Nothobranchius furzeri: one gene and its partners. The protein of the gene in region 3 interacts with the protein of the main gene of each other region in a pairwise test. Links are inferred from orthologs where the notes say so. Each region holds a gene or a part of one and is shown on either strand. Other genes may lie near its edges. The genes, in order: waca, KAT8 regulatory NSL complex subunit 1, traf3ip1, exoc1, snap91a, smc3 and smc2.

Region 1 (3,978 bases), on a different chromosome or scaffold from region 3:
AGTACTCTGTTACGAGCGATTCTGTTGAACAAGTGAAGAGTTAGGAAGGCGTGGGTTACGGTGACAGAAGCCTGAAAATAATACTCATAAAACAGCAACCAGAGTCTCTGAGTCATTGCAGTATAATCGCTGATATGAGCCAATACTGTTAGACTGCAGCCATGTTTGCCCTGATAACTATTAACTCCATGGTGCATGACCCATGTGATCTTCAGTAGATGCAATTACATCATCATAAATTTAGTTTAACATGATAGATGTTTTTTCTCTGGGCAAGAAGTATACAATATGGCCCACCTCTAGAAGAAATTGAAATTATTTTATATCAATTATAAATATATAATTAAAAAGTGCCTCTGGGACATTTGATACACCTCTAGCTCTCAACTGTGTGTGTGCACGCGCGTGTGTGTGTGTTAACAGACCGCTGCACCAGAGAATAGGCACTACGGTTAAAGTTTGACAAGAATCAACACATTTTTATGCATTTAATATACTGATGTATGTTTATAATTTCTCAAGACAGCTTGAAGTGAGTTAACTTGTAAATACTTTACAGGAGGAAAACTACTGAGATATATTTATATGGGAATTCAGCAAAAATATATTGAGATATAAGTTTTGGTCCATATTGCCCAGCCTTAGCATCCACTGGTTCCACCAACACAGGCATTTATCATTACACAAGTCTCCTCTGCTTCCAGTCAGCTCATGGGTCAAAAATGATGCAAGAGAATGGAGCTATAGTAAACATAGACACACACACACACACCCAGATGCTGGACCTAACTGTGGCTCACGCTACAGCACACACATCTTTAGATGACAAGCTAACTACACCTGGATAGCATGCTGCTAAAGTAAACACAGCCAAACCATCATGCCCTTAAAAAATCCTCCTCGTCTTGAGAAAAGAAAGATTGCTTCTCTACAACCAGTTTCACAATCTTGAAAATTCATCATTTTAAAAATTCAAACACTTTCCAGGCTTTCAAGCCGCGGTGAAAGCCGTGTATATTTAACATGATTTGCTCTTTACACTTGACTGACCAGGCAGCATGTGGTAAACTTAGTGAACATTTAGTTATGTGGCGTACTGGTGATACTCATCTAGTTATCTGCATTAACCAGGACCTTACCTCCGTCCCGGTCTCTGACCCGGTGTGTGTGGACAGCCTTGGCTCTGCTGTGTCCTGTGCTCTCCACGTGTTTGTTCTCAGGGCTGTCAGACCTCCTGAGCATTTTGCAGGGAGGAGTGACATCAGAGGAGTCTTGCGTCTTTTCGTGTCGATGGTCCCCTCCTGGATGGCTCTTGGATGAGTACTTAAGAGTCTGTAAACACAAAACAAACATGTCAGGGAACTGTAGTAATCGCAGCTGGTTTACATCAGAGGAACTTCCATAATGCGTGTTATTACAAATGTACACGACCAAAGGATTTAAACTGAGTCACGTTTAGCTTGTGTTATTACAAATACACAATTTCATGGCAGAGGGGGGAAATGAGGAAGAGCACAAGGACTAAACATTGCTTCATTCCACTATGAGAAACCAGATTCCTTCCATTTGATTTTTCTCTGTGCGCTCCCTCTGAAACACCTCGTTTGTAAATGAGGACATTTACCTGCTAAAATCACGCGTCAAGAGCAGAACCTCCAGTCATTAAGAACATCAGACTGTTTCATTACCATTAAGACACCTGCCTCTTGAGTGAACATCAACCCTAATATCTCCTTTATGACGCCAGCTTCAGTAAAGTTGATAAAGATCCAACAGAACGCAATTTTATTGAGCTCACCTTGATTAATGAGAGTTAGAGGTAGTCTCACTAACCTGGCATAGAGAGGCGCTCATAAACCAACATAGTTACGTACAACCAGGCTTTTAAAAGGCCAGGCAACACTTCAGGAGACACGTCCTGATTAGTCTTCGCTTCAGTGTCATGTTTATTCTACGTGTACAGCCTCAGGCCATAAACTAGTCGCATTTTGCTGCTTACATCCTTAAAATGACTGATTTTCGGCGGCGCCCTAATCGGAATAGCGAGCAATCAGGCTATCAGCTAACATTAGCTTTGATCCGCAGTAAAAGTCTTTCTGTCGTGTCAAAGCAGCGTTATTCGACGGCCCTGTGTACGCGTACGTTACGTGGGCCCCAAAATAGACGCGTTGCGTGTGTTTTCTGTGTTTAAATTGTGATTTTAAGCGAGACTCCTACTTTTCGTGTTATTTTCCGCACCGAGGCCTGCACACCACAGAAGCCTGAGCTAGAGTGTCCATTTTAATCTTTTTTGCTGCTAGCATGCTAACAGCCTTGGGTGTCCAAACAAGTACCTGATAGGGCTGAGAATCTCTTCGGTCGCACCTGCAGACAGAAAGTAAACAGTTGTGAATGTGTTACATCAAATATCGGCACTGAAAATGTGTTTTCCAGTGGAGCAACAGCTGAACGCTCAAGTTTCTAGTCACTTAATTTGGCTTTCAGTAAAAATGGCGGATTGTGAAAGCGCAGTAGCTACGAGGAAAAAGAAAATAAGTAACGTTAAAATGATGTTTACCCATCGCCGAGTCTCGGTTGTTTCCTTGCATACATTACCATCAATGCCGTGTTAGTGTGTTTAGAGTGGGATGTGAAAGACTGATAATGACACTGTTTTTGTTGTTGATGTAGCAATAAAAATCGTCTGTTATTTCAGCCTAGCTTGTGGGTATAGCAATGCTATCGGGAACAGGTCTAGAGAGCACCCTCACTCAGTCCATCTCCCACTCTCACGCAGCCGACTAGCTAGCGATCAAAACGCAGCAGTAGCTCTTGCTGGGTTGCCAGATACTTGAGCAAGGATTCTGTATTCATACATGTACTAGTTAAGTGTAGAATCTTTTTGACATTTTTATAGATGTAAAAATAGATCAAATGCTACTAAACACTACTAAATTAAATCAGATTTAACAAAAAACATTTTTAAGCCAGAGCGTGAATTATATAAGACAAAAATATTTTATTGCCCCATGGAAAAGGATATTAATTACTTATTAATACAGTTTTATATAACTTGTTATTTAAAGGGGGCTTGTTTACGGAAAACATGTATTAAATACAAACTTGGCAACCTTATTGCGACGTCATTACGTAGACGCCTCATTGGAAGCTGGAGAGCGTAAAAGCGTGGCTGCCATGTTGGGTGGGTTCCTCACTCTCCAGAGCATAGCTGTAATCAACGTAGGGTGGGCAACTATGGCCGTTTTTGGTGCAGCCTGTTGGGGTTTTACATTTTTATGTATTACATTTATTTATAGTTATATTTTAACTATCACTATAACTATGTTTGATTTTGTAAAAAAAAAAAAACATAAAATGTGTTTTGGTTAGGAAACACCTTCCTCAGCAAAAGTAAATGCACCTGTTCCTGAAAATAACGGAACAGGTGAGAGAGCAAAAGTTTTGCTTTGGAAGAGGGTTCTGAAAAACTCCAAAAAGAACCATTCCTATAGAGGTCCTCAAAGGTGGTGTAGGAGTCAAATGTGTTTTATGTCTGCATACCTGAGAGGAGGCTTGGCCTCAGCTGATTGGTTGATTTGATTGTGGAAGCACCAGCCTACTTAAACCAATTCAGATCAGACTCAGATGTTGCTGAAATGGGACAAACAGTTTTTTTTACTGTGTAGTGAGGACAATGGCTGTGTGTAATGGACTCTGCGGACAGCCATTGGGGCAAGTAACGCATTCATTGTAAACCACTTTAATTGCGAGTAAATGGATCATGGACATTTTGGAAGAAGACGAACTAATAAACATCATCGGAAATAAACACAAGCTGCAATTCTTTTAAACACACGTAAAGACCACCACCCGCATCAGTAACCAGTAGTGCCACTGAATAGGGCATTGGCGCAACACTTCAGGTGGTAATTTCCTTGATGGGGATATATAACATCAGTGAGACCAGGAGGAAATAAATTATTTAGAGTGATGGGCATG
Region 2 (4,242 bases), on a different chromosome or scaffold from region 3:
GTAAGAAAGGCAACAGGGGAAAGAAAAACTTCCTTTGAACAGGATAAAATGGTCCTAAAATCTGGAAAAGTTTCTTTTGACTAAAATCGGTTTTAGGAGAGCTGCAGTGATGGAGCGAGAAAACACCTCCCTCTATGATGGCTGGTCCTGGTGGATGTAGACGCTGATGAGAAGGAAGGTGATTTTGTCCTATCTTGAGTTTTTGTCATGAGAAACTATGGAGGTCTCATCACTGACTCTAGAGAAGATCGTTTCCTCCAGGTCACAAGAAACTTCTTCAGAAGCATTGCAGTGTTTGTTATCAATTTGTTATTTTTGTTTGATCTTGAACTACGCTAGTGTGAGCAGCTGAGACTGCTGTTTAAAATGGTTTTATGCATGTTTAAATAAAATCATGAAAGAAGTTTATTTATTTCTGTGTTCAGTAACCCAGTTTCCACAAGGATTTTGGCATTTGTACCACTTGTTCCACAGCTCCAGGACTTAGACCAAAACCAGTAGTTTCCACCTTTAGAAAGAAATTGTTACAGGTCTGTTGAAACCAAATCCAGAATAATGAAAGTTCCTTTGGAGATCAGCTACAATATTCCTTCCAATGTCAATGTTTTTTTTACCTCCAGGTATCCTTCACCTGCAGGTGAGATTCATTAAGTTTCAGAACTGTTCCTCCCTCAGTTTTTAGACCTTCAGGTACTGTGTCATAAACCAATAATAATAATATTAATACGGTAATAATCATCATCATTATCATCATCAATGTTTGTTGTTTTGACTTAAGTTCGTGTTCCATTCATTGTAATTTTGTAAACAAGCCAGCAGACTTCATAACTAAGTTAGTTCTGGTCTTCCCCAGAAGTACCACTGCAGGTCTGATGAGTTCCTGTCCATCCTCTGGCTCTTGGTTTAACGTGTGCAGGACAACATTTAGCCAAAACTGTCCTCCAGTGAACAACTGGTGCCATTTGTGTCTCGTGGCCTGCTTTAGGGGGACAGCTCCCAGACCGGCCGAATCTCAGCCCAGCAGGACGATGGGCTAAGATGCGATGAACTGGATGAAACGAAACGTGTTGATTAAACTCGTGAGTTGCGAAAAGCGTGGTCTCTGTTTATCTGATATGAAGCCTTGAGCCCAATTCTGAGCCAAGTCTCTAAAACAGCAACACAACGAAGAGTGTAGTTCTGAGTGAAAACATCAGCTGGGCTGGGAGCAGCTAGCATGTCTGCGATGGAACAACACAGTGACCAGGGCAAATGAAAAGCAGTCGGCCGGTAAAGACACGGGAGTTGTGAGACTCGGGCTGTAATTCTTAAATTAAAACAATTTTAGACAATTAAGTTTCGTGATATGAACTTTCATATACATTTCCGCTGTACGGGCATTTGCTAAGACTGACAGCTGCCGGAACCAATAGAAAGTCTGAAAATAAACCGTCAACCAATCGCAGCGCAGAAGGCGGGGCTTATTGGTGGTTTGTAACAGGACAAGCAGGTAAGTAAGATACTCGTTATTTTTTTAAAAACAACGAACAGTTTGCTTGTCAGGAAAAACTCTCTTCTAGTTAAACGCGCGGTTGTTTTATTTAAGTTTGATTATTTTTTACTGTTGAATTTTATGTTAAACGTATAAATTAAATTGCAGTCATTGAGAATTCTGGTACATCGGGAAGCAAACAAGCTAACGCGTATTAGCATCTGTAACGTTAGCTTTTCATAGTCTTTTTGACTGAGCTTAAATGTATCATCAAAAATCACAGGTAATTCGTTCCGTTACTCTCTACTCTTTAAAGATACATTTCTTGACATATTACCATCATATTTCCACCCTCTGTGTTGGTGTTGGTCAGCATGTAAAACTTTTAGTTTTCATAAATTTGTAACGTTAATGTGGTTAGCTCGCTAGCTTTAGCTCGTCAGCTGAAAATATCGGAATACTCAACAACAGTTTAAAAGTTACCTGTGCTGGAAGCTTCTGATGTAAAGTCACAACTTTAACCATTAGTTGGCCACGTGAATAATTATTCATAAATGAAATGTTTAAAATTAATCACCGTGCATCATTTCGTTCAGTTTAATGAAACATTAAAAAATAAACTAAACCAAAAATTTATTGGACCATAACATTAAATAAATAACCACAATACAAGACATAGAGTAAACTGTACTGTTGCACTAATTTAATTGTAAATTTTTTTAGTTGATGTAAGTTATAAAAAATTGATTTACCACCACTGTCTATGAAAGCAACCAACGCTGGTGTTACACCGTGATCCCACAGGGGGCGCTGTAACGAACACATTCAGACTGGGTCTGAGAGAAACAAGTAAAGCAAACGAACAACAACAGTTTTAGGTTCAGACTGAAACAGGGAGCCGAAAACGACTAAAAACATGTTCAGATTCAGTTTCAACTGCAAAAACAGCTCAGATTCAGATACAAAACTGACACAGTAATCAGAGCTCCACTGGTTGTTGTGGAAGTTATTTCTCTGTCATTTCCTAACACATTTGCTGCATCTGGCGTTCATCATTATTATTTACGTGTTTAAGAACGCGTTTTAATTACAAATTCTACTTTTACAGTAGCAGAATTGATGTGAGTCTTGATTGAGCACTGGAGCAGGTGCTGACATCTAGTGGTCAGGTTGGAAATCGTGGAAATTCGGTCAAAACCAGGATAAAAAATATTAAACTGTGTATGTTCTGCCTTCACCAACTTAGGTATTTATGCAGCTTCTCTATTTTTGATCATGTTGAATCAAAGGCTTTTTTTCCTATTTTAAATTACACATATAATAATAATAATAATGAAATGGTTTAAATGAATGAATCACTGAATGACTGATTTAAAAATGATAGTCCTAAACATGTAGTTTATAACTTTCCTTTTATGTTGGTGAAATAATTCCTCTCTTGAGGAACAAATACAACAAGTCAGTTGTTCCCAACCTGGGGCCAGTGAACTCAGAACTGTTGGTTTAGTTAGGTGTAACACGCCAGACAACATCCTTAACTATTTGCTATAAAACTAATGAAGGTGTCTGCTGTGGTCGGTACAGCCTGGTGGTTTATTTCAGGGCCTTTGAGTTGTGCCAAAGCATTTTTAACTCGGTTTAATTTGTCATCAAGAAGCTTAGTTTGGAATATTTCCTGGAGACAGTAGATTGTGACCGCTGTGAAGGCTTGTCTTTACCTTTATTATTTATTACTATTATTAATTATTATGAAATAAGATGTTTTTGATTATCTGTTTTACTAACTTTTTTATTTATTTATTTTTTTTAGGATTTTTGTGTTGTATCTGGATTCATGGCGTATTGGACTACCAAGTGGAGCATTTCATCAATGGAGCTAAAGGTATTCCTTGAGTGCATTAATGTTTTAGCCCTCTTATTTTTACCTGAGGTCAAGGATCGTCTTCTCCAGTTGCCGTCCCTGAATTCCTGCGGACATTGTGGAGAAGATGTGGCCAAAATAACCTCTCTGGGCCTCCAGAACCCAGTACACCGTTGTCTCATTGATTCAAGCTATTAAACTGATATCCGTTTGGAGAGATTTAAGGCAGCTCAGATGGAAAACTAAACCACAGGAAGTTTGGGGAACACCTTGGGTTCCATCAGGAGTAACACATGGAACACTCTGGAAGCAGACACAAAGCTGGATGGGTGGAGTTAAACGTCATTAAGTCATTTCAGCTGTCTGAATACCTGAGACGTCCTAGCACACATTTGTAGCTTTTTCCCTGTGATGTAACTAGCATCACTTCTACCATCAGACGATAGCGCTTGTTCCTACTCAGACCTTTCCCATGCGATTTATTTTCTCACATTTTAAGAAGACATGTTGACAGGCAACTGAATCATCTCCTTCCTTAGACGAACCTTCAACACAGGAAGTGATGAACTGCCGTTTTTTTAAAAACAAGATAAACACTTGAACAAAAGCTTTAGTTCCATGTATTTATTCCAGGTATCGTGTGAGTAAACAATGTGTTCTAGCTTATATTTTCCATAAATAGTACCAGTCTGAGAGGTTAATTGAGCTGCAGGTTTGATGTTTAATGATTGGTACCATGTGCTGTAGCTCTCCTTCATGTGGTCAGACTGCAGCTGTGGTGGTGGTTGATCTGGATCCTGTTTAGGGTCACATCAGAGACCTGGATCCGTCTTGTCCCGTCTCCTGAGGGAAGGAGACTCAAGTGAAGTGCTTATAATCCTGATTAATCCACTCATTAGAATATCACCAT
Region 3 (3,500 bases):
ATCACAGTCAGGGTGGTCAGCGAGGATGGGATGATGGGGAGATCACGCTTCAGCGGCGGGACCACCCAAAGCAGACGGCACATGCCACCTCACACCAAAGAGTTCAGACCAAACTGGGAACGGTTTCACGTCCAAATACTGATGAGAGTTCTCTCTCTGGCTTCAAGAGAGGAACCCATACACCGTCTTCATCAATAAGATCTGATCTGTTGTTACATAAAAACAAAAGCTGATCAGATGTAAATAAAAAGCTGCATTAGAGTAGAGAAGGTTAAATAAATAAATCAAAGATCCAGAAACATGTTCCCATGTTTTCCTAATTGTGCAGAAACTTAAAAACGCCTCAAATGTGTTGAGCAAGCGGTGAAAAGCGAGCGTGTTCTGCCCCAGACATCTAGATGTACGTATTAATTGCGTGTGGTCCATTAGGGGCCATGCATGCTTGTCTGGTTATTCGGCCCTCAGCTCCGGTGAAAAGGGACATTCTTGTGGTTTGGAGGCTGTAATTACACGTCTCCACTCCGTCTGTTTACATCTTTCTTGTGATAAAAGCCAGCGTGGCAGCGGGGCTGGGGTAAAGTGCTCCCTGGGATCAAACTTCCACACCTGGCCTTGGGTCACCGGCACCAAGCCTGGTGTTAGCCAGCGCTGCCCTCTAGTGGACTAAACCACTCATCCCTTACCTTTTCTGCTGGTTTAGAGGAAGACTCTGATGGTTCATAGTTTTTCTGGGTCTCGAGGATCTTCTTCACGAGTCCACCTGCGACAGGAAACACAGTAAAGATGTTTTCCTACGAGCAGCCAGGAACCGTTCACCAGGATAGACAAAGAAGGAGAAAGTAAGAAGACGTGTTTGTGTTCACCGTGGTTCTCACGGTCCAGTTCCCGCGCAGGTTCCTGCAGTGGAGATGAAACAAGATCAAAACTATTTTTATCCCATCATCCCTGATCCCATCGGCGTCACTTACTGTTACAGGAACATCTGAGGGTAGGGGGACTGCTTCCTCCACCAGGAACTGTTCGTCTTCATCTTCCTCATCCTCCGACAGTGCCTTCCCGTCCATGATGACGGGGGCCGGGGTCTTGGCACTTGATAACCTTAAAAAAGAAGAAAGTTCTCGGTGAAACTTGGCAGACTCGCTGCACCAACCGGTTTATAATCACTCTCACTCAGGCCGGACTTTTACTAAACGAATGATGATGTCACCTCTCGGTCGGGGTCACGTCTGTGTGGCTCTCCTGTCTCTTGACCCGACGAGGTGCGGGGCGTGCGCTGCTCGGACGTGCTGCTTGTCTGGAGAACCGAGGGAGAACACATGAACGCCATCTAACAGCTGCTAAATACGTTTTACTACCCATTACCTCCCCAGTTTATCTAGAACACTGTTAGGGGTCAGGTTTACCAGATGCGTGGGTTTTTAACAGCCACACTGCACGGCTTTAAAGGAGTGGTTCACTTGTTTAATCTATACATCTGCAGTGGTCTCTAGTAGGAATGAATGCCTTGTAAGCCGTTCTCTGGGGGAAAATATACCGGCGGACCACTTCTAGGACCTACGAGTGACCAACATCACAGCTGAGCTTCAGACAGCGGCCTTTGGAGTCTTATTTCCTGATATTTGGACATCTCTCCTCTGATTGGCTAACAGCAACACGACTCTACCACCGACTGCTCTGAGAGTTGATGTTTTATCTCCACAAATAACACAAGCCTGGAGGAGTTTTGTTATGTGGTGGAGTTGCTAATGCTAACGGTTAGCTTAAACTAGCCGTGAGTCCATGGCCGTTTCTCGTTATGCATACTTGTCTGTACTTGTTCTGCATACTTGTCTGTACTTGTGTACTCGCATCATCAGTGACAGCTCAAGGACGGCTCCAATCCTAACGCATCATGGCGAGGGCGCGCAGAGTTCCCAGGTATGTTTGTGCACCCTCCCCTGTATAGAGAATGCATCAATGCATCCTTCTGCGGACTCGGGACAGCAGTTTCCCATAATGCACTGCGTCGTAAACCGTCCGAACTTCAGAGGAGAAATCTAATAACTGTAGAGTTTCACATCGGGGATACTAATGAAAGAATATGAAATTGTCTGTTCATTGAAATAATTGTGTGTAACCTGTAAAATGTGCTGTGTGTGCTGGAGTTTCACTTTTCACGATCCCTCAAAATGCTAATTAGCTAACCTGCTATCAACATAAAAGCAGAGTTGCTCTGTTTTGATGAAGATTTATTTATTTTTATTAATCTAATAGTGGGAAATGCTGGTAATTTATCAGTTTTGATCAAAAGTGGACCCAACATAACACAAATAGGAGAATAATGCTGCGCAGGACGACCAGCAGCCTAAGCGGTCCGATCATTACCGACCAGTCAGAAGAAGACGTTTTTAGTTTTTTATCCAAACTGTAAAAAGCAGCAGGATCAGGGAAAGTCAGTTTTCTATAATAACAATAAAGGGCAACAGAGTGCAAAGTCATGACTACAACATAATTATTTCTAATGACATCAGAAACAACCTTGGTCTCCAGACAGGTACAGTAACAGGTGCTGACCCCACACACCTGGAGACCGCATCCAGCTGAGCCGAGGAACCACCGTTCTCCTGAGGAACGTCTTTCTGGGCTACATGAACGTCTCCATCTGTGGATCACAAACTTCTTAGCACTTTTCTTTTACTGGTGTTAACCTCAAACAGTCCTGTGATGTCATCACTCAGCCACTGTGATGTCATCACTCAGCCACTGTGATGTCATCACTCAGCCACTGTGATGTCATCACTCAGCCACTGTGATGTCATCACTCAGCCACTGTGATGTCATCACTCAGCCACTGTGATGTCATCACTCAGCCACGTTTTGGTGTCACAAACAGAACAAATCCTTTTAAATTAAGGCTTCTTTAGGGAGATCTAGCCGACAGCTGCAAGCTATAAATGTTCTGGTGTCCAAAAGTGACGGAAGACGTTTACCTCCTTCGCTGTCGGAGTCGTCTGTAGAGAGAAATAAAGAGAGAACGTTGTCACAAAGTAACGCAGCATCTCAAATCTGAAGCATGAAGAGAAGATTCATTAACAGTTTATTCTGATCAGATTCACGAAGCTTGTGCCGACACACGGGGACGCCATTAAAGGAAGAAGTCCATGACTCCAACAGTAGAAGGAAAACACAGACTTAACCGTGTTCAGTTTCCAGGAAGGCATCTTTAAAACAACGTTTCAAGTGTGGGAAGGTGTTAGGAATTACCTTGACCTCCGATCTTGGGCCTCCTCCTCTGCCCTTTGGCAGACGATGGCCGAGGTATTCTGGTTGGATTTTCAAACTGAAAAACAAGAACCGACAGAATTATTTTTGATCATAGCCTGTCCTGCTTTAGGCAGCGTGTGTCGTATTTCATCACGACGCACGGCCTCCAGCTAGGACAGCAGCAGAAAACTAACAACATACAAAACCACCCAAAAAAGGATGAAAGGTGGAACCATGAGGTGTCTAAAAACAGGAAA
Region 4 (3,500 bases), on a different chromosome or scaffold from region 3:
TCTGAGACAAAAGCTAATATAGGCTCCTATGACTCTGCCAAGACTAAAGCTTAACCAAGGCTGCTATTCAGATAATAAATAGATCTGACATAAAACGTCTGGTGCAAAGGGAAGAGGAGCATTATTGAAAGATAAAACATCAAATACAGCTTCAACACTTGGGAGGCATTTATGATTTTGTTTAAATATGTTGTGGGAAGGCTGTACATGACAAGCTCTGTTTAACCCTTTCATCATAAATATTCTATACATAAATTAGAGACAAAAAGAAATGATCCTGCAGAAAACTATCAGTCAGACGCCGACATTACCTCCATCACAGAGGTGTGCTTCACAGCAGGACTCTTACCAAACTTTCCCTTTGCTTCTTTGGAGGTACCCGCCATCTTTATCTTAGCAACCTCAAAGAAGTCTTTGATTTCTCGCTCATACAGTCTGCTCATGTAGTCGACGTAGGTCTGAAAAGGAGAAAGGATATTTGTTCACATGTACGACGTAAACACACACACAATACCAGCTGGACAGCACAAAGTAGCTGCCATTATTCAACAGAGATCAGCCGATTTGAGTTTCTATGATGTCAATACCGATGTCGAACTACAGAGGTCATAGTCAGCTGTCGGGTGACGTTTTTAGGCCAACTTTTATGGTAAATATCGAGATGTTTCGAGATTCAAGAAGCTTTTATTATTGAACCGGCGTCCCAGCACCACAAGATAACAGCTTCAGATCCCCACCTTATCTGGATGCTAAAACGTCACCACCATCAGTGCTCGAAACCCACATTTAATCAACTGCTGAATCTTAGTTTGTTTGCACTGTTTAGTATTTACATCAATAAACTGAGCACATGTTACATTTAAAGTGAGTAAATAAAAAATGTCTGTAAAAAATAATGTTACGAAGCATTTGTAGGCAGATGTTTTCATTTAAAGGGCCATATCATGGAAAATCCACTTCTTGGAACTTTTTAGAATGTGATATTTTTGTTTCTTAATGAAAAATACCTCTCGTTTTTCACGGAATAATCAATAAAACTAAAATATAAAAACTGCTTAATAAATTACTGCCGACACCGCCGGGATTCAAACCCACGTCAGCACACGAGCTGCCAGGCAGACCTCTGAACTACCGTAGCCAACGCGGCAAGAGACTCGTCTGTAGGCCCTTTGGTCAGAGTAGGCGTGGGCGGAGTTTCACTGAAACATGTTTTATTTGCTGGTTTAAATTCACACTGATGGAAATAACTCGTATTTAAAATAAGTGACACCTCAGTAGTGCCAACAGTAATCTTTTATCATGAACTGAGCCTACCTTTGCTCTCAGAGGTTTAAAATAGCACGATATGGAACCTTTAATAACATTTAGCAGCAGCACCGGGCTGCCTGTGCACGTCCGTTATAAAATCAGCTCTCCTAAAGAGGTATATGGACTAATGTAAGATATAAAAATGGTAAACACTGGCCTGATGCTTTGGCTCACTGGTATATCATCTCTATTTTCAAACATTTGCATATTTAACCACTAGGAAAGCAGTAAGATGTTTTTGGCAGACGTCATATACATTTGCCACAGATTTTCCTTCTTAAAATAAATATTTTTAAAAACTACCAGACTGACCCTGGACAGGCCTTCGTACTTCTCCCTGTGGGTGTTCTTCAGCCACTCCATGAGCTTGGCGTAGCGCAGCAGGTCCCTGTGGAGGGGGCTGTGTTTGGGCAGGGTGAGTTCAGCTGCATGCTGAGGTAAGGTGGAGCTCTGATCATGACCCTTCAGAAAAACAAGCGTTAGGGTCAGAAGAACAACACGTTATAGGAGTGTAAAATCCATTTTCATCCAGAAATGCACACACTCCAGCTTGCTGTTTATCACAAACTCACAGATTTTATACCTCTGAGGATTTGATGCTTCCCCTTACTCCCTCACAGGACTAGCACGTGTGTTCTTGACTTCATTTAGTACAAGACATGCACAGCCTTCTGTGATGTGAGCCATGTGAGAACGCAAACATGAAAAGCCCTCAGCTGAGTCAGCTGGTGAAGGAGACGAAGGATGGACACAGCCTCATCAGCTCCTCATCAGACAAGGGATGTTAAGAAGTTAGAAATCTACCTCATGCATTAGAAAACGCTGGAGGAAGAAGCCTCATTGAGTGAGCAGTGAGAGATCAAACAGCGAGAAGAGGCCAGGTGGGGGGTTGCTGTGAGGGTACTCACTGGAAGTGACAGACAGGAGGACCTATAATACTGAGGGATGGTCATTTTGAAATGACTGAAGTGGTTGAACTGACACAGAGACAGAGAGCAGAGTGGGATGATTCAAAGTGAGCAACAAGGAAAGTCGTGAGCGGGAGGGACACAGCTGCTAGGAAAATAACACAGGAAGCCCAGGAAGAGAGCGTCAGCTAAAAAGGAAGCTCACAAGGAGAAAAAAGAGCCAGGAGACCATAGGTCTTCATTGTTCAAGCTGATCAAAAGCTGAGTCTGATTTCTGTCCCCGTAGCTTCATAGTGCTTATTCTCTGATGTATATAAACAGAAAAAAAGCCACGTCAAACCAGATATCTGATATTTTGTGTAGCTTTGTTGTTTCTGTGTAACAAAGCTGATAAAAATGACATAAGGTCATGTGACCAGCCACAGCCAGTCATGCTACAGCAGCATTTAACATGTTGTTGCTTTTAAGTTAAGGTACAGAAAATCCACATGAAAGAAATTGTCCAGCCTGAGTAGGAACACGGTTGTAAAGGACAAGACTGAGCACTCACCTGGTGAACAAACACATTGTTAAGGTGATTGGTGAGGCGGCGAGCAAACGTGTCTCTCAGCTCAGCAAACAGAAGCTGCTGCTGCCTCACAGCCATCAGCTTTTCATGACCTGAAGGAAGTAACGTACACTTTCATTTGATTGAACACTAAAAAAAAACTACAAAGTCAATTTATTTCTGCAGAAGTTACTCAATACCTGGCCGCAGAGCCACGCTCATGCACTGCAGCAGAGCTTCAGAAGCATTGATGCAGGCCTCTATCCCTTTAGGGGAGGTGAGGTCTCCTTCCTGCAGAGCCCTGATGTGCCCCTTTGACAAATCCATGTAGTTCTACAGGAGGAGAGAGGAACCAGAGTCATCTAACAACACACTGTGACTCAGTGTCACACACACACAACTGTGTGTTATAGCGCCTCACCACTAAGAACTGGATCTCATCCAGCAGTTTGTTATTGTTGGTGTTGCTGATCTGGATGAGACGGTTGCTCTGGGAGATCTGATCCATCTGATCCTTGACGCTCTGGAGCATCTCCTCGTAGCTGCTCAGCTTTCCCTCAATGGTGTCCACCTCTGTCAGAGCTTCATCCAGCAGCTGCATCAGGATATTGACCTGCTTCTCTGATGCCATGATGGACTGGATGTTGGCCTTTAGGAAGACACAGATCCAGAGATGCCTTTTTGGTTAACTCATTAACTGCTATTGACGACTAAAGTCATCATTTTAAATCCAACCG
Region 5 (3,500 bases), on a different chromosome or scaffold from region 3:
GACGGGTCCCTACCACAGCCATAGCCTTGAGGTACCCAGGGTGAATCTTGTCAACCCCTAGAGCTCTGCCACTGCGTAGATTCTGGACCACCTCAGTGACTTCTGCTCCAGAGAGAGAATATTGTTTTAGTAAATATATGTTTTCGTAAAGTCAAGGCATGAGATCACAATTTTAATTTAACAATGACGCAACAAGGATTTTGTCCACCCTTCATTGTTTAAACTCCTTCTGGATCTAAGCGTTTCACTTGTGACAGAGTTGTTAATGTGGATCCTTGTCTTCAGGCTGCCACTGCTCCAGGAGCTCCAGGATCAGCTCCACCTGCTGCAGCTATGGTACCAGCGCAGCCTGGCTTCGGCATGGTGAGCACATCTGTTTGGTTAAAGAGCATTTATAAACAAAGACAGTAATTACAAACCACTAAAATATCATTCTGACTTAGATCTACCTGTGTTGAATGAAGTTTTAAATCTGAAATTTTTTATTGAATAACTCCTTTAATAAATACAGAGGAGTGGAGGGGGGTTCATACTATTCCGTCCCAATCTAATGAGATTTTCTGATCTTCTCAGTCCCCTGCAGGAGGACCTGGGGCCCCAATGATCCCCCCTATGATGGGGCAGCCTTTGATGAGCCAGTCCATGATAAGACCTCCATTTACAGGCGTGACTGGAGCTGCACCTGGAGCACCGGTAACTCAAAACACATACTGTAACATGCTCACACACTGGTGATTACAGGGGCTTGAACAGAATGGTTGCTGCCACTGCCATCCCAGGTTAACATTTCTCTACATTTTGTTTAAATTTGAAAGTCCATCATCTCCTCTCTGCTCCCTTACTGGTTTTATCTGCTAAGGAAAATGTCACAATGAGCAGGTTTCAAGCCCTTGCAGACCCCACATTGATAGTCTCAACCCACTTCAGACTGTGTGCGTGCATGGGTGTGTGTTCAGTCACGCCACTCAACAATGGAAGGAAAAGAACTGTGTGGCTTAATAACTGAGACATTTTATAGAATCGAACAGATTAGACTATCATTCCCATGGAGGGGAAATTCACTTAGGGTACAGAAGTGCTACAACAGCACATACACTTAGAGAAAAAGGAAGACAAAAGATAATAACAACTTCTGTCTGTTCATTCTGTGTATTTGTCAACTTGCATTGCCATAGTAATTAGCTGAAACGTTAGCGATGCATGATAATTACAAAGTTACACACAAAAGTAGTGAGATAATAACCTTCAACCACAAAAAACTACAAATAAAAAGTAAACTTGGGTTTCCAGAACTATACAACAGAGGTGTGGACTCGAGTCACATGACTTGGACTTTGGTCAGGCTCGAGTCATTATTTTAACGCCTTCTGACTTGACTTGATAAAATCAATAAAGACTTATGACTTGACTCTGACTGGAATGCCAATGACTTGCGACTTGAATCGACTTACATCTGTTGACTTGATGATGACTTGAGCATATTTGATATTTTAACACAAAAGTGGCACGACATGGACAAAATTCATAAATCATTCTTTGTTCTGGGTTTGATCTTGAACTGCTGAATTCAGCAGCACTTTGTTTATAATCAGTTTCAGTTGCACTTTCTGCTTGTTTGAGCAAATAAATGAAGCTTTAAGAAGCTTTATTTCTGGAATGTATTTATTATCATTGTCATTAAACTGAAGTTGGACAGATGACTTGAATATGACTTGACTTGGACTTCCACATTATTAAGTTTGGACTCGGCTTGGACTTGGTTGTCTTTGACTTGGACTTGATTCAAGACTTGACTAGATAGTCTTGTGACTTACTTGTGACTTGCAAAGCAGTGACTTGGTCACACCTCTGTTATTACAGCATAAGGGACATAGGCGTATTAATGTAAAGCCGGTAATGAACACATACTGAATGCTGCATAGATGTTATTGTGTACCAGGATAATGCCAGCACCAGTTAAACTGAGGAGTTATACGCTCTTACTGCAGAGGGGATGAATGACCTACGGCAGCGTGCTGTTTTACATCTGGGATGTCTCAGTCTGCCTCTGAAGGAGCTGTCCGTGGCTTCCACAGTGGAATGCAGTGTAGGTGGGAGGGTTTTCCAAGATGGAAGTCATCTTCCCCAGCACCCTCCTTTTACACATCTCCTTAACTGAAACTAGTTGGCACCCAGAACCAAGCTGGCTTTTTTAACTAGATTGTTCAGTCTCTTTCTGCCTCAGTCGGAGCTGCCTGAGCCCTTACAGGGTTATTCAGAAAGTCTTTCTTTGGTACCAGTACTTACTGAATATTTTTGATGAGAGAGGTATTGACTTTTTGCACCTGTCACCAGATCATAAGGGTCCACCATATTGGATGGCAAATGCATAGTAAACAGCGGGCATGGGTAAGCCCAGTTCAGTTATTGTACACACCTAGGTGGGGCAACAGTGAATTACAGGAGTGTTGAACGGAGGGAAAGGTAGTGCCTAAGGTTTTTATTTTTTTGCCAGTTTAACCTGGTTTCTTCTGGTTCAAGCCCAGTTCCCTTGTGGGAAGAGTTAGCACACCTAGGTTGGTAGAGAGCAGTATTTACAAAAGTTAAATGTTAGCTAGCTTATGAACGTTAGCATACGTTCTCCTTGCTGCCACTCACCTATGTAAACAAGTTGCCAACTTTGCCAGATTTCATCCCGCTGGATTTATAAAATTGTGTCAGCAACAGCATTTTACTTTGCACTGGAGCGGATTAAAAACAAACTAAAAAATCCGGATCCATACCAGATTTTGTCGCTGGTGGGGTCACCAGGTTCAACTACTACTCACACCGGGGTGAGACAACACTCATCATGCTAAATAAATCATTTTAATTTTCACACAAGTAATCCTACATTGAAACAATATTATTATAATAAATAATTATCACTATAATAAAAGTTCAGTAGATGACAGCAATGCACATCCTCCATGGTGAAAAATAGAATTATCAATATATAAACATCACATTTGTCACTTCCGGTCCATCACAGTCAGTCCCTGTCTTCCTCATGAAATATACGAACATTAATTTTACCCATTAAACCATGTTCACTGCAAATCTGAAAATACTTTGACGGCTATTATCCATGCAGTTAATTCCTGTTTTCAGTCTCCATCAAAGTTATTTAGAAAAAGACAAGTTGGGTCTTGTCTGTGAGTGTAGTCAACCGCACAACAGACTAGTACATCTTTACTGTGAAATCAACTAAATAAAAGCAATAAAAAGTAACAAACTGGCTTGTTTTGACTAGCTTGAATGAAGTGTCAACCTGTGTAAACAGTCGTTCTACCGTCCATAATGGCTAAGGGGGTCATGAACAGCTTGACGTCACGTGTGATGAGTCAATATCGTTTCGGTACCCATCCCTACTTCTGACTGAGCCAGGACATTTTGTGTCATTTATTTTACACATCCAGGATTTTTTCCCAAGTTGGGTTAGGTGGGGAAGCGTATGGCTTGCAGAAGACTTGAGCTAATGC
Region 6 (3,500 bases), on a different chromosome or scaffold from region 3:
CGAACTAGAGGAAAAACAGGCAGATTCCTCCTCTATTTACAAACTCCTGGGGATGCAACAAGTGGGCGCGGTGCGTCGACTTCCGGATCTGACGTCGACAAATTTTTAGAATCGAGCCGTCGACTTCGTCGAGGCTTCGCTACAGCCCTAGTAATTATGTCTTGGTTTGTCACATTAAAATCATACCAGCTGTCCAAAAATAAAATTAACCTTTAAATTGAAAAAATGAGTTGTGTGATATTCTGGCATGAATGTGTTAGGAGTATAACAGGAACAATTTTTCATTTTCATTGCATTATTTCTGTGTTTCTTGCAGATCAACCAAATGGCCACAGCACCTGACTCCCAGCGTCTGAAGCTCCTCAGGGAGGTCGCAGGAACTCGAGTGTATGACGAACGAAAGGAGGAGAGCATTTCTCTAATGAAGGAGACGGGTAAAAATCAACCAAAAGCTTGTTTATTTATTTGATGCATTCACTTTTCTCCACTCTATTAATTGTAAATTTGTAAACATAATAAATAAACACTCAGTGTTGAGCTATTAATGTATTCTGGTGTAAATATAGGATATTAGGAAAGATGGATTAGGGCTGAAACGATTCCTCGAGTACCTCGAATAATTCGATTACAAAAAATCCTCGAGTCAAATTCTCTGCCTCGAGGCTTCGTTTAATTCATGTTTAATTAATTCATGGCTTTGCAATCGCCCGGGGTCATGTTTCACCCGGACCGAAATAAGTGACGCACATACACGCTGCACTGAATGCACACGCGAGTAGCGAACGCAACTTAACTTTCTCTTAAGCCATGGCAGACAACGTGGACCCTGGTGGAGTGCGAAAAAGACACAAAATGTCAAAGGTGTGCGACCATTTTTCACGTCGTAAGGCAGAAAACATAGTCCAGTTTAAATACTGTAAAATGGATTTAGCCTACCACAACACCACATCCTCCATGCTGCAGCACCTGACCAGGAAACATCCACATGTAAATGTCACTTCTGCAAGCGGACTCGGAGTCTCTACAAGATAATGCATTTTAGCCTGTATTTCTATATATTCTGCAGACACTGTGCGACTTTTTCTTTTGTAGCACTCAAGTTTCAGCTCACACCGTGCATCTGGTAGCAACACGTCGGTCTTAAAATGTGCTAAAAATAGCAGTTTTTACAACACGTCTGACTTTTTACTGTGTTGTTACTGATGTCCGTTGTCCCTCGGGATTGCTGCAGGAGGACACAGGTATTTATGAGAGTGGCGGAGGAAAACGAAAGAAAGTAAATAAATGTTGTGTGATCAGCGTAATTTGACAAAACCACGGCAAACATGCTTTCTCGACAATCCTTGTTAGTGTGAGAAAAAAAGTGTAGAAATTAAAACGGACGTGTGTTAATAGGGAAATAGCTGGCGAGCCATGTTCGCGCATGCGCCGTGAGCGGTTCTGGTGCTGTTTGGGCCGCAGCCGCTCGCATTTGTTTACTGTGAAGTTGAAGTGCTGAAGTTTTGAAAACGAATTTTGAATAAAACTTGAAGAATAACTGGCAATTGCTTTCTCATTTCAAGAGGTCTTTCATATTTTATAACATGCTATTTGATATGTAATGGTTTACAAACGCAAAAGGGTAATTTATTAGAGTACTCGATTAATCGATTATAGATTCGATAGAGTACTCGATTACAAAAATATTCGATAGCTGCAGCTCTAAGATGGATACTGTTGTCTTGTGATTGCAAGATAACATGTCTGTTGTTATTTTTTAATATTCTAGTTATAGTTCCACATAACAGAAGTGCACGGCAGTGAACATTTATTATTGTTGTTGTTGTTGTTATAAAATTCCTAAGGTTAGCTAGCATGCCATTAGTACATTTAAAAAAACATTTCCAAAGACGTCCCTAATTTGTGTATTCCACAGAGGGGAAACGAGAAAAGATCAACGAGCTGTTGAAGTACATCGAGGAACGTCTACACACCCTGGAGGACGAGAAGGAAGAGCTGGCTCAGTATCAGAAGTGGGACAAGATGAGAAGAGCTCTGGAGTACACCATCTACAACCAGGAGCTGAACGAAACTCGAGCAAAACTGGACGAGGTAATGTGGTTTAGAGCGGGGGTCACCCACCTGGTGCCCCTAGGTACTAGATGAGGTGCCCACAGGCCTTTTCTCCAAATGGCTTCTGCTGCCATCATTTATAATCACAAATGCATTAATAGAAATTTAAAAGTCTATTTATTAAACATGATGTTTAGCTTAACGCTGATCTGTTCTAGTTCAAATGTCACTATTGCATCAGCCTGGTTGCCCTTCCAACGGCTCGATAATTGTGAAGTAGCTCTCAGCTTCACCTAGGTTGGTGACCCCTGTTTTAGAGGGTTGTAAAGATGATAAATGAGCAAAAACAACATTTCCATTGTAGAAGATATTCATATCATCTACTGAACTTTAATGTTATAGTTAAGTTTTAGTAGCTAAACGTTGAAGAGGAAGAACTGATTTCTGTAATCGCTCCTCTCCATATTCCTGAGACGCTTCACAAGAACAAAGAAAAGACAAATTATTTAAAAAAAATAACAAAGAATCAAGGTAGTGATGGAACTGTTTACAGAACTTACTGATTTAGCTTTTATTGATTCTATTCTAAGACTTGTGTTTTGTTTGGGTTTTCTCCAGTTGTCCAGCAAGAGAGAGACATGTGGAGACAAATCCAGACAGCTGCGAGACGCTCAGCAAGACGCTCGAGACAAAGTGGAGGTAAAAGAGAAAAATCTCACACTGTTATTAATATTAGGATGCATAAGTGGAGTTTTGAGCTGATGGAGGAAAGATAAGGAAAATAACTGCAGCAGTCGTCCTTTAAACATGTTTTTGTTTACTCAGTAAAACTATTGATTATTTAGTTGGTTCTCAGTTTGAATTATTTTAGCATTAATAAAAAATAAAACTACAATAATTTACATACTTTGTTACATGTAGCTGTTAGTATTTGGTTATGTGGAAAGTAAATATGTCTCCCACAATTCTTTGTAGGCGTTTTCTTTTCTGCTTGTTTTGTGAAGAAACCTGTCCCTTTTAAACTTTTGGTTGCCGTGTTTTAGGAGACGGAGCGCGTTGTGCGTGAGCTGAAGTCCAAAATCTCCGCTATGAAGGAGGAGAGAGAGCAGCTATCAGCAGAGCGCCAAGAGCAGATCAAGCAGAGGACCAAGCTGGAGTTGAAGGCCAAGGACCTGCAGGATGAGCTGGCAGGCAACAGCGAACAGAGGGTACGGAAGCCTCGGATCTGCGTCACGCTCCACACGTGATGATGCACCAACACCGCTCCCCTCTCCTCCATCCTCTTCACTATTACTGAGTCTGCAGTCTTTACTCTTTCCAAGCACATTTTCACCCCAGCAGCTGCTTATCATAGATTAGCTTTCAGTTTGTTGAGAGGCTAATAAAAGGTTTAGAATGAGCACCGTAACTTATAGTGGTGAAATTAATGTAGTTTACCGCCTTCTAAA
Region 7 (3,500 bases), on a different chromosome or scaffold from region 3:
GAGGTATGCTATGATGTAAACTGGTACATTATGATGTCACAATGCCGTTGTGAGCCTGTGTGTGTATTGGTTAGTGGCTCCGCCCTCTCTGTCTGCCAGGCAACAGCATTTGTTGCATTTTTCAAACATGAAGAGGGAGTTAAGTAAGTTTCTTGTAGGGGGTGACTTACTCTTTAACTGGCTGTTCAGACAGAGCAGACACAAACGGCTAATCTGACTCATTTCTAGAGATTAAAGCTTTGGAACACAAACAACCTGAGCTGTGTGAAGAACAGACCAGTTTAATCTGGAATAGGGCTGGGACGATAACCAGTAAATCATACGGCAGATGAAAATGAAGTACTCAATTTTTCCAGCCTCATATATCGAGGTTAAGAAAACTATTATTATTATTGAAGTGCAGTTTTGGGTTGCTGACACATTGTATGTACAGGTGCTGGCCAGTAAATTAGAATATCATCAAAAGGTTGAAAATATTTCAGTAATTCCATTCAAAACGTGAAACTTGTACATTATATTCATGCAATGCACACAGACCAATGTATTTCCAATGTTTATTACGTTTAATTTTGATATTTATAGGTGACAACCAATGAAAACATCAAATCTGGTATCTCAGAAAATTAGAATATTCTAAAGGCCAATGAAAAAATGTTTGTTTCTCTAATGTTGGCCAACTGAAAAGAATGAACATGAAAAGAATGTGCATGTATAGCACTCAATACTTAGTCGGGGCTCCTTTTGCCTCAATAACTGCAGTAATGCGGCGTGGCATGGACTCGATCAGTCTGTGGCACTGCTCAGGTGTTATGAGAGCCCAGGTTGCTCTGATAGTCGTCTTCAGCTCCTCTGCATTGTTGGGTCTAGCGTATTGCATCCTCCGCTTCACAATACCCCATAGATTTTCTATGGGGTTAAGGTCAGGCGAGTTTGCTGGCCAATCAAGGACAGGGATACCATGGTCCTTGAACCAGGTGCTGGTGGTTTTGGCACTGTGTGCAGGTGCCAAGTCCTGTTGAAAGGTGAAGTCTGCATCCCCATAAAGTTGGTCAGCAGCAGGAAGCATGAAGTGCTCTAAAACTTCCTGGTAGACGGCTGCATTGACCCTGGACCTCAGGAAACAGAGTGGGCCAACACCGGCAGATGACATGGCACCCCACACCATCACTGACGGTGGAAACTTTACACTGGACCTCATGCAACGTGGATTCTGTGCTTCTCCGCTCTTCCTCCAGACTCTGGGTCCTTGATTTCCAAAGGAAATGCAGAACTTGCTTTCATCAGAAAACATAACTTTGGACCACTCAGCATCAGTCCAGTCCTTTTTGTCCTTGGCCCAGGCGAGACGCTTCTTGCGCTGTTTCTTGTTCAAGAGTGGCTTGACACACGGAATGCGACACCTGAATCCCATGTCTTTCATGAGTCTCCTCGTGGTGGTTCTTGAAGCGCTGACTCCAGCTGCAGTCCACTCTTTGTGGATCTCCCCCACATTTTTGAATGGGTATGTCGTCACAATTCTCTGCAGGGTGCGGTTATCCCTAGAGCTTGTACACTTTTTTCTACCACATTTTTTCCGTCCCTTCGCCTGTCTGTTAATGTGCTTGGACACAGAGCTCTGCGAACAGCCAGCTTCTTTAGCAATCACCTTTTGTGTCTTGCCCTCCTTGTGCAAGGTGTCAATGATTGTCTTTTGGACAGCTGTTAAGTCAGAAGTCTTCCCCATGATTGTGGTGCCGTCAAAACAAGACTGAGGGACCTTTTAAAGGCCTTTGCAGGTGTTTTGAGTAAATCAGCTGATTAGAGTGGCAGCAGGTGTCTTCTATATTCAGCCTTTTCAGAATATTCTAATTTTTTGAGATACCAAAGTTGGAGTTTTCATTAGTTGTCACTTATGAATATCAAATTTAAATGTAATGAACATTGGAAATACATTGGTCTGTGTGCATTGCATGAATATAATGTACAAGTTTCACGTTTTGAATGGAATTACTGAAATATTTTCAACCTTTTGATGATATTCTAATTTACTGGCCAGCACCTGTATTGTTTTGAGAGAAAAAAAAAACGGTCTATTTTCATGTTTTTGGTGCAATATTTTCTAACTGAGTGAAATGGCGATATGATACGTATCGCGATACAGGGGAGACGATACAATATATCACAATATATTGCGATACATTCAGTCAGACGTTATTATTGATTTATTTATTGTAAGAAGATTCAATCAACAGTCCAAACTAATACTTAACGTCTTTAACACGAGGTATCTGAACCATAACAGATTTGTATTTCAACAGTGGAAACTAATCCCATTGCACACCATTGCCCACTGGTGGTCGGTGTTTGAATTGCACCAAAAGAAAAAAAATACACAAACGTTTACATGTCAATTCTTCCAGAAATTTGATAAACGGCTTTAAATATCGATATAATATCGCTGGAAAAAATATCACAACATATTGTCATATCAATATTTTCTTACAGCCCTAATTATTATGATATATTAACATTAAATAAGTTGTTTTGGTCTTGATAATGTCTACAATAATATTGTTAATCGTCAAATTTCTCTTTTGGACAATACAGTAAATCATCAAGCAAAATTTGTTATCGTCCCAGGTCTAATCTGGAGATGTTTCAAGAAGATCCAACCCTAACTTTAAATAAAGCAGGAAGTAGAACATAAAGTTTTAAATAAAATAAAGTAAAAAACATAAGTAACAGCACCAAGTAATAAATTAGAAAGAGTAACAGGATGCTGAACCATTATTAATTTTAATCCTCATGCAGAAATTTCATTTTTGCTTGTTTATCTTATTCAAAAACTTTCACATTTATCTGTGAGACAAAATGTCTACAAAAGCTATCCGTTTTCTAAATAGGATTGCCATCAGGAAGTTGATGACTTATTTCAACATCCTGCTTTGCATTCAGATAAAACCTTGCAGCTAATGGGTGCAGGTTAGCTTGAACAGAAATGTTTGGCTAATGATAGTCAGAATATTTTCATTGTTGAAGTGATCTACTAACAAAAACAACTGAATATGTTCGCAGTCACTGTGGAGTCAGACACACACACACACACACACCTTGTTCTGCGACACGGTGCAGGCCATGCTGTCTATCTGCTCTTGGATGGCCTTCGTGGCCTCGTCTACAGCCTGGATCTGCTGCTCGTAACCCGCCTGCTCCCGCTGCAGCTCCTCCAGCTCCAGAGCCACAGCATCAGACTCCTGAGCAAGAACACAGATCAGAGAATACTCAACATGTATCAAGACACGATGGACACCAGATCCTTCAGATGAGACTTTTTAAATATTCCACCATCACACCTGCTGTTTCTGCTTTAACTTGGTACTGAAGGCATCAGCTTTGGTCTTGGCTGCGTTGAGTTTCTGCTGGGCGGCCTTCAGCTCCTTCTCCCTCTCAGCCTCGGCGTTTCTCATTTTGTTCTCCAGCACCTTGTATTTCTCCTCGGCCCGCTTCTGGACCTCTTTGGT

The links.
Region 1: the proteins of traf3ip1 (region 3) and waca interact in a two-hybrid assay, tested with the Homo sapiens proteins (2 studies listed by BioGRID and IntAct). The link is inferred for Nothobranchius furzeri from reciprocal best matches to the Homo sapiens genes TRAF3IP1 and WAC.
Region 2: the proteins of traf3ip1 (region 3) and KAT8 regulatory NSL complex subunit 1 interact in a two-hybrid assay, tested with the Homo sapiens proteins (2 studies listed by IntAct). The link is inferred for Nothobranchius furzeri from reciprocal best matches to the Homo sapiens genes TRAF3IP1 and KANSL1.
Region 4: the proteins of traf3ip1 (region 3) and exoc1 interact in a two-hybrid assay, tested with the Homo sapiens proteins (2 studies listed by BioGRID and IntAct). The link is inferred for Nothobranchius furzeri from reciprocal best matches to the Homo sapiens genes TRAF3IP1 and EXOC1.
Region 5: the proteins of traf3ip1 (region 3) and snap91a interact in a two-hybrid assay, tested with the Homo sapiens proteins (2 studies listed by BioGRID and IntAct). The link is inferred for Nothobranchius furzeri from reciprocal best matches to the Homo sapiens genes TRAF3IP1 and SNAP91.
Region 6: the proteins of traf3ip1 (region 3) and smc3 interact in a two-hybrid assay, tested with the Homo sapiens proteins (2 studies listed by BioGRID and IntAct). The link is inferred for Nothobranchius furzeri from reciprocal best matches to the Homo sapiens genes TRAF3IP1 and SMC3.
Region 7: the proteins of traf3ip1 (region 3) and smc2 interact in a two-hybrid assay, tested with the Homo sapiens proteins (2 studies listed by BioGRID and IntAct). The link is inferred for Nothobranchius furzeri from reciprocal best matches to the Homo sapiens genes TRAF3IP1 and SMC2.

Annotation. Positions count from the first base shown.
Region 1 is NC_091747.1:30,792,142-30,796,119, forward strand, and holds the start of waca (WW domain-containing adapter protein with coiled-coil), read right to left. Parts: upstream 2,801-3,978; 5' UTR 2,599-2,800; coding exon 2,558-2,598; intron 2,365-2,557; coding exon 2,334-2,364; intron 1,333-2,333; coding exon 1,140-1,332; intron 1-1,139.
Region 2 is NC_091756.1:53,988,067-53,992,308, reverse strand, and holds the start of KAT8 regulatory NSL complex subunit 1, read left to right. Parts: upstream 1-1,442; 5' UTR 1,443-1,489; intron 1,490-3,281; 5' UTR 3,282-3,353; intron 3,354-4,242. UniProt on the Homo sapiens protein: Non-catalytic component of the NSL histone acetyltransferase complex, a multiprotein complex that mediates histone H4 acetylation at 'Lys-5'- and 'Lys-8' (H4K5ac and H4K8ac) at transcription start sites and promotes transcription initiation.
Region 3 is NC_091754.1:2,492,623-2,496,122, forward strand, and holds part of traf3ip1 (TRAF3-interacting protein 1), read right to left. Parts: intron 3,320-3,500; coding exon 3,244-3,319; intron 2,991-3,243; coding exon 2,970-2,990; intron 2,642-2,969; coding exon 2,518-2,641; intron 1,295-2,517; coding exon 1,208-1,294; intron 1,099-1,207; coding exon 969-1,098; intron 898-968; coding exon 864-897; intron 761-863; coding exon 684-760; intron 1-683.
Region 4 is NC_091748.1:40,504,423-40,507,922, reverse strand, and holds part of exoc1 (exocyst complex component 1), read right to left. Parts: intron 3,413-3,500; coding exon 3,185-3,412; intron 3,097-3,184; coding exon 2,964-3,096; intron 2,877-2,963; coding exon 2,767-2,876; intron 1,771-2,766; coding exon 1,621-1,770; intron 459-1,620; coding exon 350-458; intron 1-349.
Region 5 is NC_091745.1:52,417,704-52,421,203, forward strand, and holds part of snap91a (clathrin coat assembly protein AP180), read left to right. Parts: intron 1-285; coding exon 286-363; intron 364-573; coding exon 574-693; intron 694-3,500. UniProt on the Homo sapiens protein: Adaptins are components of the adapter complexes which link clathrin to receptors in coated vesicles. Clathrin-associated protein complexes are believed to interact with the cytoplasmic tails of membrane proteins, leading to their selection and concentration.
Region 6 is NC_091744.1:4,686,321-4,689,820, reverse strand, and holds part of smc3 (structural maintenance of chromosomes protein 3), read left to right. Parts: intron 1-316; coding exon 317-434; intron 435-1,915; coding exon 1,916-2,091; intron 2,092-2,670; coding exon 2,671-2,751; intron 2,752-3,095; coding exon 3,096-3,260; intron 3,261-3,500. UniProt on the Homo sapiens protein: Central component of cohesin, a complex required for chromosome cohesion during the cell cycle. The cohesin complex may form a large proteinaceous ring within which sister chromatids can be trapped.
Region 7 is NC_091747.1:76,184,972-76,188,471, reverse strand, and holds part of smc2 (structural maintenance of chromosomes protein 2), read right to left. Parts: coding exon 3,333-3,500; intron 3,234-3,332; coding exon 3,090-3,233; intron 1-3,089. UniProt on the Homo sapiens protein: Central component of the condensin complex, a complex required for conversion of interphase chromatin into mitotic-like condense chromosomes.